Linked DNA regions of Mus musculus. The protein of the gene in region 1 interacts with the protein of each later gene in a pairwise test. Links are inferred from orthologs where the notes say so. Each region holds a gene or a part of one and is shown in the gene's direction. Other genes may lie near its edges.

Evidence for each region.
Region 2: the proteins of Exoc2 (region 1) and Exoc1 interact in binary tests that used the Homo sapiens proteins (3 or more experiments, as listed by UniProt). The link is inferred for Mus musculus from reciprocal best matches to the Homo sapiens genes EXOC2 and EXOC1.
Region 3: the proteins of Exoc2 (region 1) and Ralb interact in a two-hybrid assay, tested with the Homo sapiens proteins (2 studies listed by BioGRID). The link is inferred for Mus musculus from reciprocal best matches to the Homo sapiens genes EXOC2 and RALB.

Annotation. Positions count from the first base shown.
Region 1 is NC_000079.6:30,971,459-30,975,208, reverse strand, and holds the start of Exoc2 (exocyst complex component 2), read left to right. Parts: upstream 1-1,161; 5' UTR 1,162-1,213; intron 1,214-3,750. UniProt on the Homo sapiens protein: Component of the exocyst complex involved in the docking of exocytic vesicles with fusion sites on the plasma membrane.
Region 2 is NC_000071.6:76,528,058-76,531,807, forward strand, and holds the start of Exoc1 (exocyst complex component 1), read left to right. Parts: upstream 1-1,253; 5' UTR 1,254-1,405; intron 1,406-3,750.
Region 3 is NC_000067.6:119,502,467-119,506,216, reverse strand, and holds the start of Ralb (ras-related protein Ral-B), read left to right. Parts: upstream 1-1,434; 5' UTR 1,435-1,640; intron 1,641-1,956; exon of another isoform or gene 1,957-2,019; intron 2,020-3,750. UniProt on the Homo sapiens protein: Multifunctional GTPase involved in a variety of cellular processes including gene expression, cell migration, cell proliferation, oncogenic transformation and membrane trafficking.

The DNA of each region.
Region 1 (3,750 bases):
GATGGTCTGGAAACACTTTGACGTATCTTCTCACAAATAGGAGAGAAAAATGAAGCCATACAATATCTCTTAATTCATAGTGCCTGTACGACACCCTCTTCAGTGTATGTACTGAATGAAGCATAAGGTATGCTTCACAGAAAGATATCTGAAAAAAAAATAGCTTAGGCCAGTGGCTCTTAACCCCCCTGGGGGAATGATCTTCACGCAGGGGTTGTTTAAGACCATCGGAAAACAGATATTTACATTGCCTTCATAACAGTAGTAAAATTACAGCTATGAAGTAGCAACATAATAATTTTATGGTTGGGGGTCACCACGATATGGGGAACTGTATTAAAGGGTCTCAGCATTAGAAAGGTTAGGCTGTTATTGGTCTTAGATAATGGGCACCCCGTAGCTACTTCTCTCCACAGTCATGGCAACACAACCACAGGTAGACCCTATGCTTCTGCCATTATCCTCTGCTGAAGATCACTGTCCTTCGTTCCTGCTACAGAGGAAGCCACAGGGATATGTCTGCTTCAGTTCAGCTGGCCATCTCCAGAGTCCACAGGAGGGTACCTTCAAACCTTAGGGCTTATGGGCTGTAGATAGCAGTCGTTTCTATAATATGGGGGTCTTGTGAGTTTGCAAATCAATTTGCCACTCAGACCCTTGGGACCCCAAAGCTCTGACCTGTGAGAAATCTTAATAAGGCGGGCACTCCTGGCTAGATGCAGTCCTTTGACTGAGGTTTGCCTCTTGACCTGGTGCTGATCCCTGACCGCTGTGGACTCTTGGGCAACATCTACTGTGACTCTAACCGACTGTATCCTCTTTACCCCTCCCCTCTTTTTCCTCCCCGAATTCCACCCTTCCACTTTCTCCCTCTCCTCCTTTCTGCTTCCCTCCTTCTTTTCTCCCTTTCCCATCAATTCCTCTTCTCCTTTCCACCTCTCCACCCTTCTCTCCTCCTCCCTCCCCACTTTCCCTTTCTTCCCTCTCTGTCCACTTCCATGCCGTCGATATCCTCTAACTTCCCTTCTCCATAGTCTGGTCCTCCTTCTATTCCTTCCCCTCTGGGAAGAGGCGGTCCATCCAGCACTCGGTGCTCGGCTAGGCGGCGGATCGACGCGCTCGGCGCTCGCGGCGTGCGGAAGTGCGGCCCTAGTGCTGGCTGCGGCGGCCTGGAACCGGTTGGCTGGGACCTGACACCGCCTGCAAGCTGCAGGTGAGTGTCGCGTCCTGGGTGAGGACGCCCCGGGTCCGGAGTGGAATTCCGCGGTGGCACGGGACCGTCGGGGCTGGGCGACCTGGGGAGGCGCGGTGAGGGACCCGGGGCGCGGGGCTGAGTGTGGGAGCCGCGGGCCGAGCCTTCCCCACCCGCCTCCGCGCAGGCCGCCGGGCTGGACCCGGAGGAGCGGCTGGTGTGCAGGGTCTGCTTGGAATCTGTTTAAGTCCCCCGCGCTAACGTGGACGGGAAGCTTGAATGGTTTCCTTTACTACTCTGGGAGCAGCAAGTGCGGGTTCAGCCACACCTCCATTCGGCCATTTGAATGCCTTACACTAAAAACACTAATGGCAACTGGTTATCTCTCTACTAACTTTGTTTATAAAGCTTAGCTTGTGATGGCCCAGGCTTGGTAACAGATTCCCCCAATGGCAAGGAACTGAAAGTCAAAACAAGAATGATCTAAGTGTGAACAATTTGTGATTCGAAAGGTGACAGAAAGACGCTGATGTGTGCTTGCCTCTTACATGTTCTCTTTTGTTTGACACAGTAGACAGTATTTTTAAGCAGGGGAACCTCTGTTTGTTGGAAACAATTTTTGGAGTTATTAGAAAGTAGTCCTTTTTTTTTCTTTTTCAATTATTTAATTTACTGTACCAGACATTTTGAACTATTACCTTCCAAAAGGTGATACCTTGAAGATTACATTCAAAACATTTGTAAAGGCTGTATTCTAGTATGGGGCTTCTTCAACTTTTGCCACCAAAAATTTATAAAGAATTTCCATGGTTTTATATGTAAGTTTATAAAATAGGTAGACAATCTATGTATTCACTATCTGTAAATCACAAAGCTTTTTATTTTAGGACAATTTTTGTATACATCAAACTTACCATTTATTAAAGATGAAAGCATAGAGTTGGATAACTCGGTTCTTTTCACATACATAGTTAAGTCTTGGTTTAATATTTGTAACTACGGGACACTGAGCATCTTCAGGGCTTTCCAGAGCTGATTGATTATTTTAATTTTCTAATCATCGGTAGGAAGAGCAGTTCTACATACAAATACATAGTACACAGTGGTAGAAGGACAGTTAGAAACATTTTGGAGATTGTTGCAAATTTGTCCTTACTCCCAAGCCGAATCCATTGGTGATCTTTTAGAACTTCAAATCAGCAACGTAAAAACCAGTTTTTCAGATTAAAATTCGGACACAACACGATTTAAAGACCCAATCACTTGGTGATTACATGCTGAAGAATGCCAGTAGGGAAATGTGAATAGTCTTTGTTTTCTGTAATAAAACCATTTTTCTCCTTTAAGAACAGAACATTTTGTTTGTGTGTGTGTATATACGTATATACATATGCATAATATATACATATATACACATACATATATACATATATGAATACACACATATATGTATACACACATATATGTATGTGTGTATATATGTATATATTTGTTTGTATGTATGTATGTATATATGTAGTGTGTTAGTTTTTTCAGTGTTGTAACCAAGTACCTGCTAAGCAGTTTAAGGGAAGAAGGTCTCACTCCAGTTTATAGATTGGAGTTATATAGCCTATGCTAGTGAGGCTGCCTCATAGTGGCAGGACTGTGCCCTGGGACCCCTCAGGAACAGGAAGCAGATAGAAGTCAGGATGTGGGGCTGGGCTCTGAAACCTCAAGTCCCCACCCCCTAGTGACTCACTTTCACAACAAGGCTCTTCATCTGTAAGCTTTCATAACTGCCTAAAACAGTGTTAGGAGGTTCTGAGCCTATAGGAGATATTTTCTATTCAAATCGTAACATACAGTGAAAACAACTGCTATTTGTAACATATAGTACTTTGACGCTGAGTTGTAGGGTTTGGGTTGAATACTCTTGGGTACTTCATGACATGGCAACGTGCACAGAGAGAAAGTTCAGAACCAAGGCTGGGATGAAGTTGGATTGAGTACTGCTGGTAACACCTTTGATTCACTATGGATTTCATTTTTTAATTCATTTTTGATCCCATGTGTTTAGAAGACTTTCATTTCGCTTTTTCTTTTTTTTCCTCTCTCTGCATTCAGTTCCACAACCCTGTATAACCTACAGGATTGCCACTCACAGTTTAAGAATCTGTATTCTGGTAAAAGACTTGGTACCAAATAGAATCTCTAAGTGTATAGCTACAGCAGGATCTTACCACGTAGGAAACACTAGGGATAAACTTGTCTCTCAGTTATCTTTTCACACAGGCTGTGGTTTTACTCTTCTTTCTTTGAGAGGGTCTCACTATTGATTGATCACTATTCAGGTTGATCTTTTGTTTTTTTTTTTTTTTTTAAAGATTTATTTATTTATTATATGTAAGTACACTGTAGCTGTCTTCAGACACACCAGAAGAGGGAGTCAGATCTCATTACGGATGGTTGTGAGCCACCATGTGGTTGCTGGGATTTGAACTCAGGACCTTTTGGAAGAGCAGTCGGGTGCTCTTACCTGTTGAGCCATCTCACCAGCCCTCAGGTTGATCTGAACT
Region 2 (3,750 bases), on another chromosome or scaffold:
GCTCCAGGACAGCCAGGGCTACACAGAGAAACCCTGTCTCGAAAAACAAAACAACAACAACAACAAAAAATTCATCCTATGTGCCTAGTCCTGCAGTGACTTGATGTCACAGGGTGGGTTGGTATCCAAGAAGGTCTCCACCCCACCCCTTCTCAGAAGAGAAGGGAAGCAGAGAATGAGGGAGAGGCTGGGAAGGAGGGTGAGAATTGGAAGGAGGGGTAGGCTAAGATCCACATGCAAAGTAAATAAATAAATGGAAAAAAAACAGCAAAGAAAAAAAGAAGAAAGAAAACCATCCTGGTAGAGTATGTTATCCTAACTTCGCAATCACCTTTTCTAGTCCTACCTCATTGCGAACTCCTTCAGTATAAAAAAATTGAATGGCTTTTTTTAATTTTTATTTTTTAACCTGGAAATCAAAATTTGCAGCACTCAATCCCTGCCAGGGATGCGGCCTAAATGAATCACTTGTCTTATAGCTCGAACTCTCGGCATCATTTATGTTTCTCACACTGAAACAAGCAAGCATCACCTTTAAAACAAAGATTCTATTTCAGTATCTGATGTGAGGTGGCATGGGTGAAGTTTCTAAAAAAACACCCAAGAAGAAGGTCTGTGCAGTCAGGGTAGAGTATGAAGTGGGTAAATGACCAAAGCTGTTTATGGGAATTAAGTGTCCAGAACTTAAGGGTACTAGTGACATCTATCCCAGAGAATCTGACTTAACTCACTAAAGTTCTTCCAAGAATCTAGTTAGCAGGGTTTTACATATGCACAGGAGAGAACATTTAATGCGCTCTCAAATGAGTTGCTACAAATATTAGAATGGGTACGTCTACAAAAAGGAAACATCACCATTATCAACTCCTCAAATCAGCCTATGCTAACAGTTCTCAACATTCCTAATGCTGCAACCTTTTAATACCTTTCCTCATGTTGCAGTGGGTCCCAACTATTAAATTATTTAATTTCTACTTTAAAACTGTAATTTTGCTACTGTTATCAATTGTAATGCAAATATCTGATATATTGGATATCTGCTATATGACCACTATGAAGGAAGGGGTCGTTTGACCCGCAGGTTGAGAATCACTGGCCTATGTGCTTGCAAGCCCCGCCCCTGTCTTTTCCACGCCCACAGTCCGCCTCTGCCCCATCCATCAAAGCGCTGTTCCGCCTCCTCCAAGTCCATTGGCCAATCTGTTTTTCCTCTACTGTCTCCATTTCCGGCTCCACAGGGTCAACTTCCGGTGCAGAGAGACACGTGACCGGATACGGGAAGTGGCGGGTTCTGGCCGCTGCTTTTCCCTGTTCAATGAAAAGTGCTTCAAAGCTGCTATTGCTGCCGGCGCCCTTCCTGAGTCCGTCTTGGAGCACCAACCTCGGCCGGCCGGCTGGCCTCGCGGTAAGCTTCCGGCCGGGGACCTGCGGTCTTGGAGGTGGTAGCCTAAGTGGAGGCAGTGTTGCATCCGCGCCGGGTCGGCCACTCCCCAGTGACCCGGCCCACCCACCCTGCTCCACTTCGGGGCTGCAGAACCCGGGCTGCGTCCTTCCTTAGCCGGTGCTGTCCGGGGCTCTGGGAAAAGGCGGAGCCGGGAGGCAGCCAAGTCTCTGTCCACAGTTCCGCCCATCCGGGACAGATTTCATTTTTGTCCTACTAGCGTGGCCTGGAAGAGAAAGACGTGACCTGGGCTTCTGCTGGTCCGAATCAATATAACATGTCCTTATAAATCTTCTAAGTGCATTGCCCAGCCTCTGAACAGTTTTTTTTTCTGGATGACATGTCTCCGAGTTGAGATGTCACTGCAGTACATGGGCCCAACCCACTAAGGCACTAGCATGGACACACAGTGTAACGATGGCCCTATTAAGCTGAAGGAAGTATGTATGTACACAATGAACCGAGGTTAGCTGCCTCTGTAACGGGCAGCCTTGAGGTTTTAGAAGGCGAAGATCTAAAGAGAACCCAGAATATGGGCGTGGTTTTTAGACCTGGGAAATAGTTGTGAAGGCCACTATTAATAATACTGGCATAATGTAAAGTTCAGTATAAACACTGGAGAATTCATCTCTAGATCCAAAGAAGACTGACTATCACAATGCTACGTCAACCCGTTCATGTCTTAAAGATTCTCCATTATACCCCAGAGTGCTGCCTGGCACTTAGTGAATAGCAATATTTATATTAGCAATATAATATAGCAATATAGTAGCAATGCTTATGTCTAATTCCTTCATGAGTTATGACCAGCCCTCTGCTGTTTTTACCGTTTACCATGTACTATGGTGAATATTGGCCATTGCTAATGGTTCTTTTGGCCAGCTTTTACTATTGCAATCAAGCAGGTTACGCCAAGAGCTTGTTAGTGAGTACCCAACACACAAACCTGTGATAGAGCACCCCTCCTCCTCCTACTACTCAAGAGATGGCTGTGGAGATCTAGGAGATGACACTCATGTCCCCATTAGATAGCAAGCATTTGCCTCGTAAATACAGTAAGGGCTCTATACATTTACATGAAAAGAGCCGTGTGGATTGAGACTTTCATTGAGTCAACTAAATACAAATGGAGAAATGTAGGTTTGAATAAGGAAAAGATAGTGGTATGCCCTGCATGGGAAAGTGCTTAAGCAAAGAAAGAACAGAGTGTTCTGAGTGCAAGGCATGTCTTGAGAAAGCTGGGTTGCTGTTGACCAGGTGTGTGGTAGAATGAGAACTGCTTTAAAGTTATTTACTAGTTTTTCAGGGAACTTGTAGAAGCCTAAAGAAAAAAGAAAGAGATAACGGGTGCTATTACTTAAAGGCAGTAAGTCTTGGTGGCTGTGTTGGCAGCAAGTTGTGGGGGAGAGGGATAGGATATGTAGATGAAGAAGTTACAGGATATGCTCACAGATTTCACGTTGGCATGGAGGAAGCAATCAATTACAGTAGAGTTTGAATCTGGGTATTCTCTTACAGATGCGAAAGTTGGAAAGAGGTAACTCTGAGGGAGCGATCCCTGGTCTGTTATTGAGTGGGACAGTATTCCCTAAAATGTTTACTGAGTGTGCACTGTGTGCCTCTCGGCAAATGCTAGGAATATAAAGATGGATAAGATAAGGTTCTTGCCAACAGAGAACTACTTTTCGGAGTAGTAGAGGCTAGACGGCGCTAGCTATAAAACACAGGTTGGAAGAGCTGTAGTCAGCAGAGGTAAGATGGGGACAGAAGAGGAGTTTTTCTAGGAGAGAAGGCTTCAAAGAAGAGGCAGTGTGTTATCAGAATCCTTGAGGGCAAGTTGGAATTTGCAGTGACAAGAATTTGAGAAAAAGGGAAACAGTGAACAAAGCCCAGAGACAGTTTCCATAGCGTAAGATGGAGTAGAGCTTTAATGTCACATCCGGGCCCTAGGACATATTAAGGGGCATTGTACTGGCTGGGTTTGGGTGTCATCTTGACACAGGCTGGAGTTATCACAGAGAAAGGAGCTTCAGTTGGGGAAATGCCTCCGTGAGATCCAGCTGTAAGGCATTTTCTCAATTAGTGATCAAGGATGGGAGGGCCCATTGTGGGTGGTGCCATCCCTGGGCTGGTAGTCTTGGGTTCTATAAGAAGGTAAGCTAAGCAAGCCAGTAAGTAACATCCCTCCATGGCCTCTGCATCAGCTCCTGCTTCCGGACTTGCTTGAGTTCCAGTCCTGACTTCCTTTCGTGATCAACAGCAATTTGGAAGTATAAGCTGAATAAACCCTTTCCTCCCCAACTTGCTTC
Region 3 (3,750 bases), on another chromosome or scaffold:
ACCCTCTCTTGCAGGCACTCAGCACCCATGTGGTGTACATAGATTCAGTGCAGGTAAAACACCATGCACATAGCCAGGCATGGTGTTGCATGCCTTCAATGCCAGTACTAGGAGGCAGAGACAGGCAGATCTTTATGAGTCTGAGGCCAGCCTGGTCTACAAAGTGAATTCCAGGACAGCCAGGGCAGTCACACAGAGAAACCCTGTCTCACACAAAAAACAAAAAACAATAAAATAAGACCACCCCTCCCCTCCCACCACCACCCCCCAAAAAGAGAAAGAAACCCCCATGCACATAAAATAAATCTTTTTTTTTAAGAGCCCTGGCAGTTTTTCTTTCTTTTAAATTTGCGTGTGCAGAGGGAGGAAGGTTGAGAGAGAGAGAGAGAGAGAGAGAGAGAAGAGGGAGTGCACATCAGAGGACAACTTGAGGGAGCCAGTTTTCTCTTCCCATTATGTGGTTCCCAGGGGTCTACAGGGGTCCAAGTCTGTTGAGGCTGTGGGGCTTGTCTCTGCGGGTGTCTTTACCCCTCCAGCCACCTGCTAGCCCAGGGAGACTTGGCTTCTCCTTATGCTGTCAGTGGGAGGACTAGGTCTGTTAGTTGCTGGTATGGAACCATTTAAACAAAGCACAAAAGCCTCTGATATAATATACAAGTATCCTAGTTTAGAATTATCAGCAAGAATAATTACACAGTGCGGGCTACGGTTATCACTGTTTCCCTCCTTAAAGATCAGAAACAAACGTTGAATTATTAATTACCATACAGTGAAAAGCACCAGTTCGTACGGGTGGGTGGGGTATCACACAACTGTGGCAGTGAGAAGTGGCTAATGTTCAGCTGGGAAAATCAACCCTAGTCGAAAACGCGTAAGAAAATAAGCTCCTGAGCGTAGGAGGGTGATGAAGGGCAGCCTGCAGCTTGTAGTTCTTGCCGCTGGCTATAGCTAGGGTTAGGGTTCCTGACCTGGCCTGTGACCTAGGTCAAATTAATAGCTGTAATTCCTTTACTAGTAGGGTGTCATGGGCGAAGCTAGAGGCGATGCCACCTGGAGTTTCCAGTCCCTGACCAAGGGTCTTCAAAGCTGCTTATCACCTTCCACACTAGGGCGCAGGCCACACTTGGCCACACAGTCCTCCTCATTGGCTTCTATCAGCTCAGTCTTTCTTGGCTTTTTCACAACTCTGGCCTGGCTCCGGCTTCCCCAGGAGTGCACCCGCCCACGCCCCGGCGTCCCCAGACCAGTTCCCAAGCTCTGCCACTGCAGCAGCGGTCACGTGCGCGAGTCCGGCTGGGGAGCCGAAAGGAAGGGGGAATGGGTGGGGCCGTTCCGTGGGTGCCACGCCCACACACTCAATGTGTTTTCTCATTGGTGAAGGTTTGGAAGTACCTCTTCGGATTGGTCAATAGGCGTGGCCTCGGAGAACGGAAGGGAGGGCTGCCTCTGGAGAGGACAGGGTTGCCGGGCGGACAGCGGGAACGCGCTCCGGGGGGTGGGGACGCGCGAGCTCACCACTCCTCAATGACAAATCGACTGGGGACAGCTGGGGTCCGGCCCCAGGACGGGGCGGGGCGCTCGTGAGAGCGGCGATTCTGGTTGTGCGCATAGCCAGAGCGGCGGTGGGACGGCTCCCCCAGGTAAGGATGCTGTGCCCCGCAGGGGACCGCAGACGAGGGGTGCGCCCTAGGATAGGGAAGTGAGTACGCTCTCCGCGCGATTGCAGGCCTCCTAGTTCCACGTTGGGAGGGAGGGACACGTCTCATGAAGGACAACGCCCCGGACTGCGCCCCGCTTGGCTTGAAAGGTGTCTTTTGGGAAAGCCGGAGAGACTCCCAGCCGGATCTGGGGGTGCTGAGGACATGGGGGAGGCGCCCCAGTTTCTCTTCCCTTGCTGCCTGTCCTTCCCTTTTTCCACAAATGGCCACTTCCTGCCTTTTCGGGCCTCCCTCCTGAGTTGGTCCACTTCCTCCGTCCCTTTCAGATCCATAAAATGTTGCCCAAACTTCTTTCTTAAAGGTAGGAACTTGTACTTTGGGTGACCTGGGAGCTGGGTTCAAGAAGTTTGTAGGGATTTGTTGGTTGTGAATTACTTTTTGATTCTGTCTTCCAGTTGCCTTTCAGAGTGTGACTAGCATCAAAGGTGGTTTTTAGAAGCACCGTGGCTTGAAGGGTTTTCCTGACCCGGTTCTCTGAGCCAAGTCAGCTCGTGGCTCAGACTTGCTTGTGGCCCAGACTTGAGTGTCCCCAGAGGGCGCGGCACCCACAGCAGGGTCCTTTTTCCTAGAGTTCATTTCCAAGTGAATCCTGGAATCTAGGGATTGGTGTTACCAGGGTGTTCTGGAAGAGGGTCTGGAATGGACTGATAGTTCTTACCCTCACTTGCCTTCAATCCCTGAAGAACAGAGATCCTCTCGCTCTGGCTCTGCTTTCATTTCCTAACCACCTTTCTTAAGTTTGGGTTTATTGAATGATCAAGGCTTATCCTCAGAGGGGCAGGGAGTGTGCTTTGGATGTGCCAAGTGAAGATAGTTTTAATCAGAGCAAGAATCTTACATGTTAAGTCTCAGAACATGTCAAAGTGGCGCCGCTTAAGCCTGGATTGAGGTGGTGAAATTGTGAGAGCCATAAAGGGAGGTGCTGAATATTGAGAAGGAGGTGTGAGCCAAGGTTGATCCTGGTTTTGGAACTTTGTGTGTATGAGACATGATCTTTTGTAGCGCAGGCTGGCCTGGAACTTGATAGATAGCTAGAGTGACCTTGAACATGTGACGTTCCTGCCTCTACCCCTTGAGTGTTGTGATAACTGTATTCTACCATGCCTGGTCCATGCAGTGGTGGGGCTGGAACTCTGGGCTTCCTATATGCCCAAGAACTCTACCAGCAGAGCCAAATCCCCAGCCTGGTTCTGGAATTTTCTTAGTGCCGTGGTCTAGAGGAGGCCCTTTGTCTTCTCTGAGCTCTGAAAGAGTTGGCTGCCCACCCCCACTGTCAGCTTCCAATCCAGTAGGCAGTGTTTAAGGTGTGGGAGTGGGCATGGTTCTAGGATTCCATGAAATGCCCCCCTGCTGAAGCTGTGATGTGTGTGTGTGTGTGCATGAGTGTATGAGTATATATGTGTATGTGTATGCATTCTTGTAATTTTATTTACATGTGACTATGCAAATATCTGTATATATGTTTGTATTTTTTAGATTTATTTTTATGTGTGCATATGTGTGGGACAGGAACCCTTGGAAGCCAGAAGAGGGCGTGGCTGGGATTCCCTGGAGCTGGAGTTACAAACTGTTGTGAGCTGCCCTGCATGGGCCCTGGGAACCAAGCAGGCCTCTGGAGGAGTAGCAGATGCTCCTAATTGCTGAGCCGTCTCCCCAGCCCCCACCAGGTTACTTATGGTGTGTGTGTGTGTGTGTGTGTGTGTGTGTGTGTGTGTGTGTGCGCGCGTGCGCGCGCGCACGCACGCATGCTATGCACACATGTGGCAGACAGAGGATGCTTTGTAGAGTTTTTCTTTTCCTTCCTCTTTTAATTTTCAGAACCAAACTGGTTGTCAGGCTTGTGTGGCAAGCCCCTCTCTCCACTAAGCACTCTCTTGGCGTGGGAGCTTTTCTCTTTCTTTTTAAGTGGGGTCTTAAGTCTGTCCCACTCACAGGAAACTAACGTTAGGGGAAACCAGCTGCGGTGTGGGCCCTGTAGGTGCTCTGTTGATTCTGACCTCCTCAGAGTCTTTTTATTTTATTTTTTTAAGAT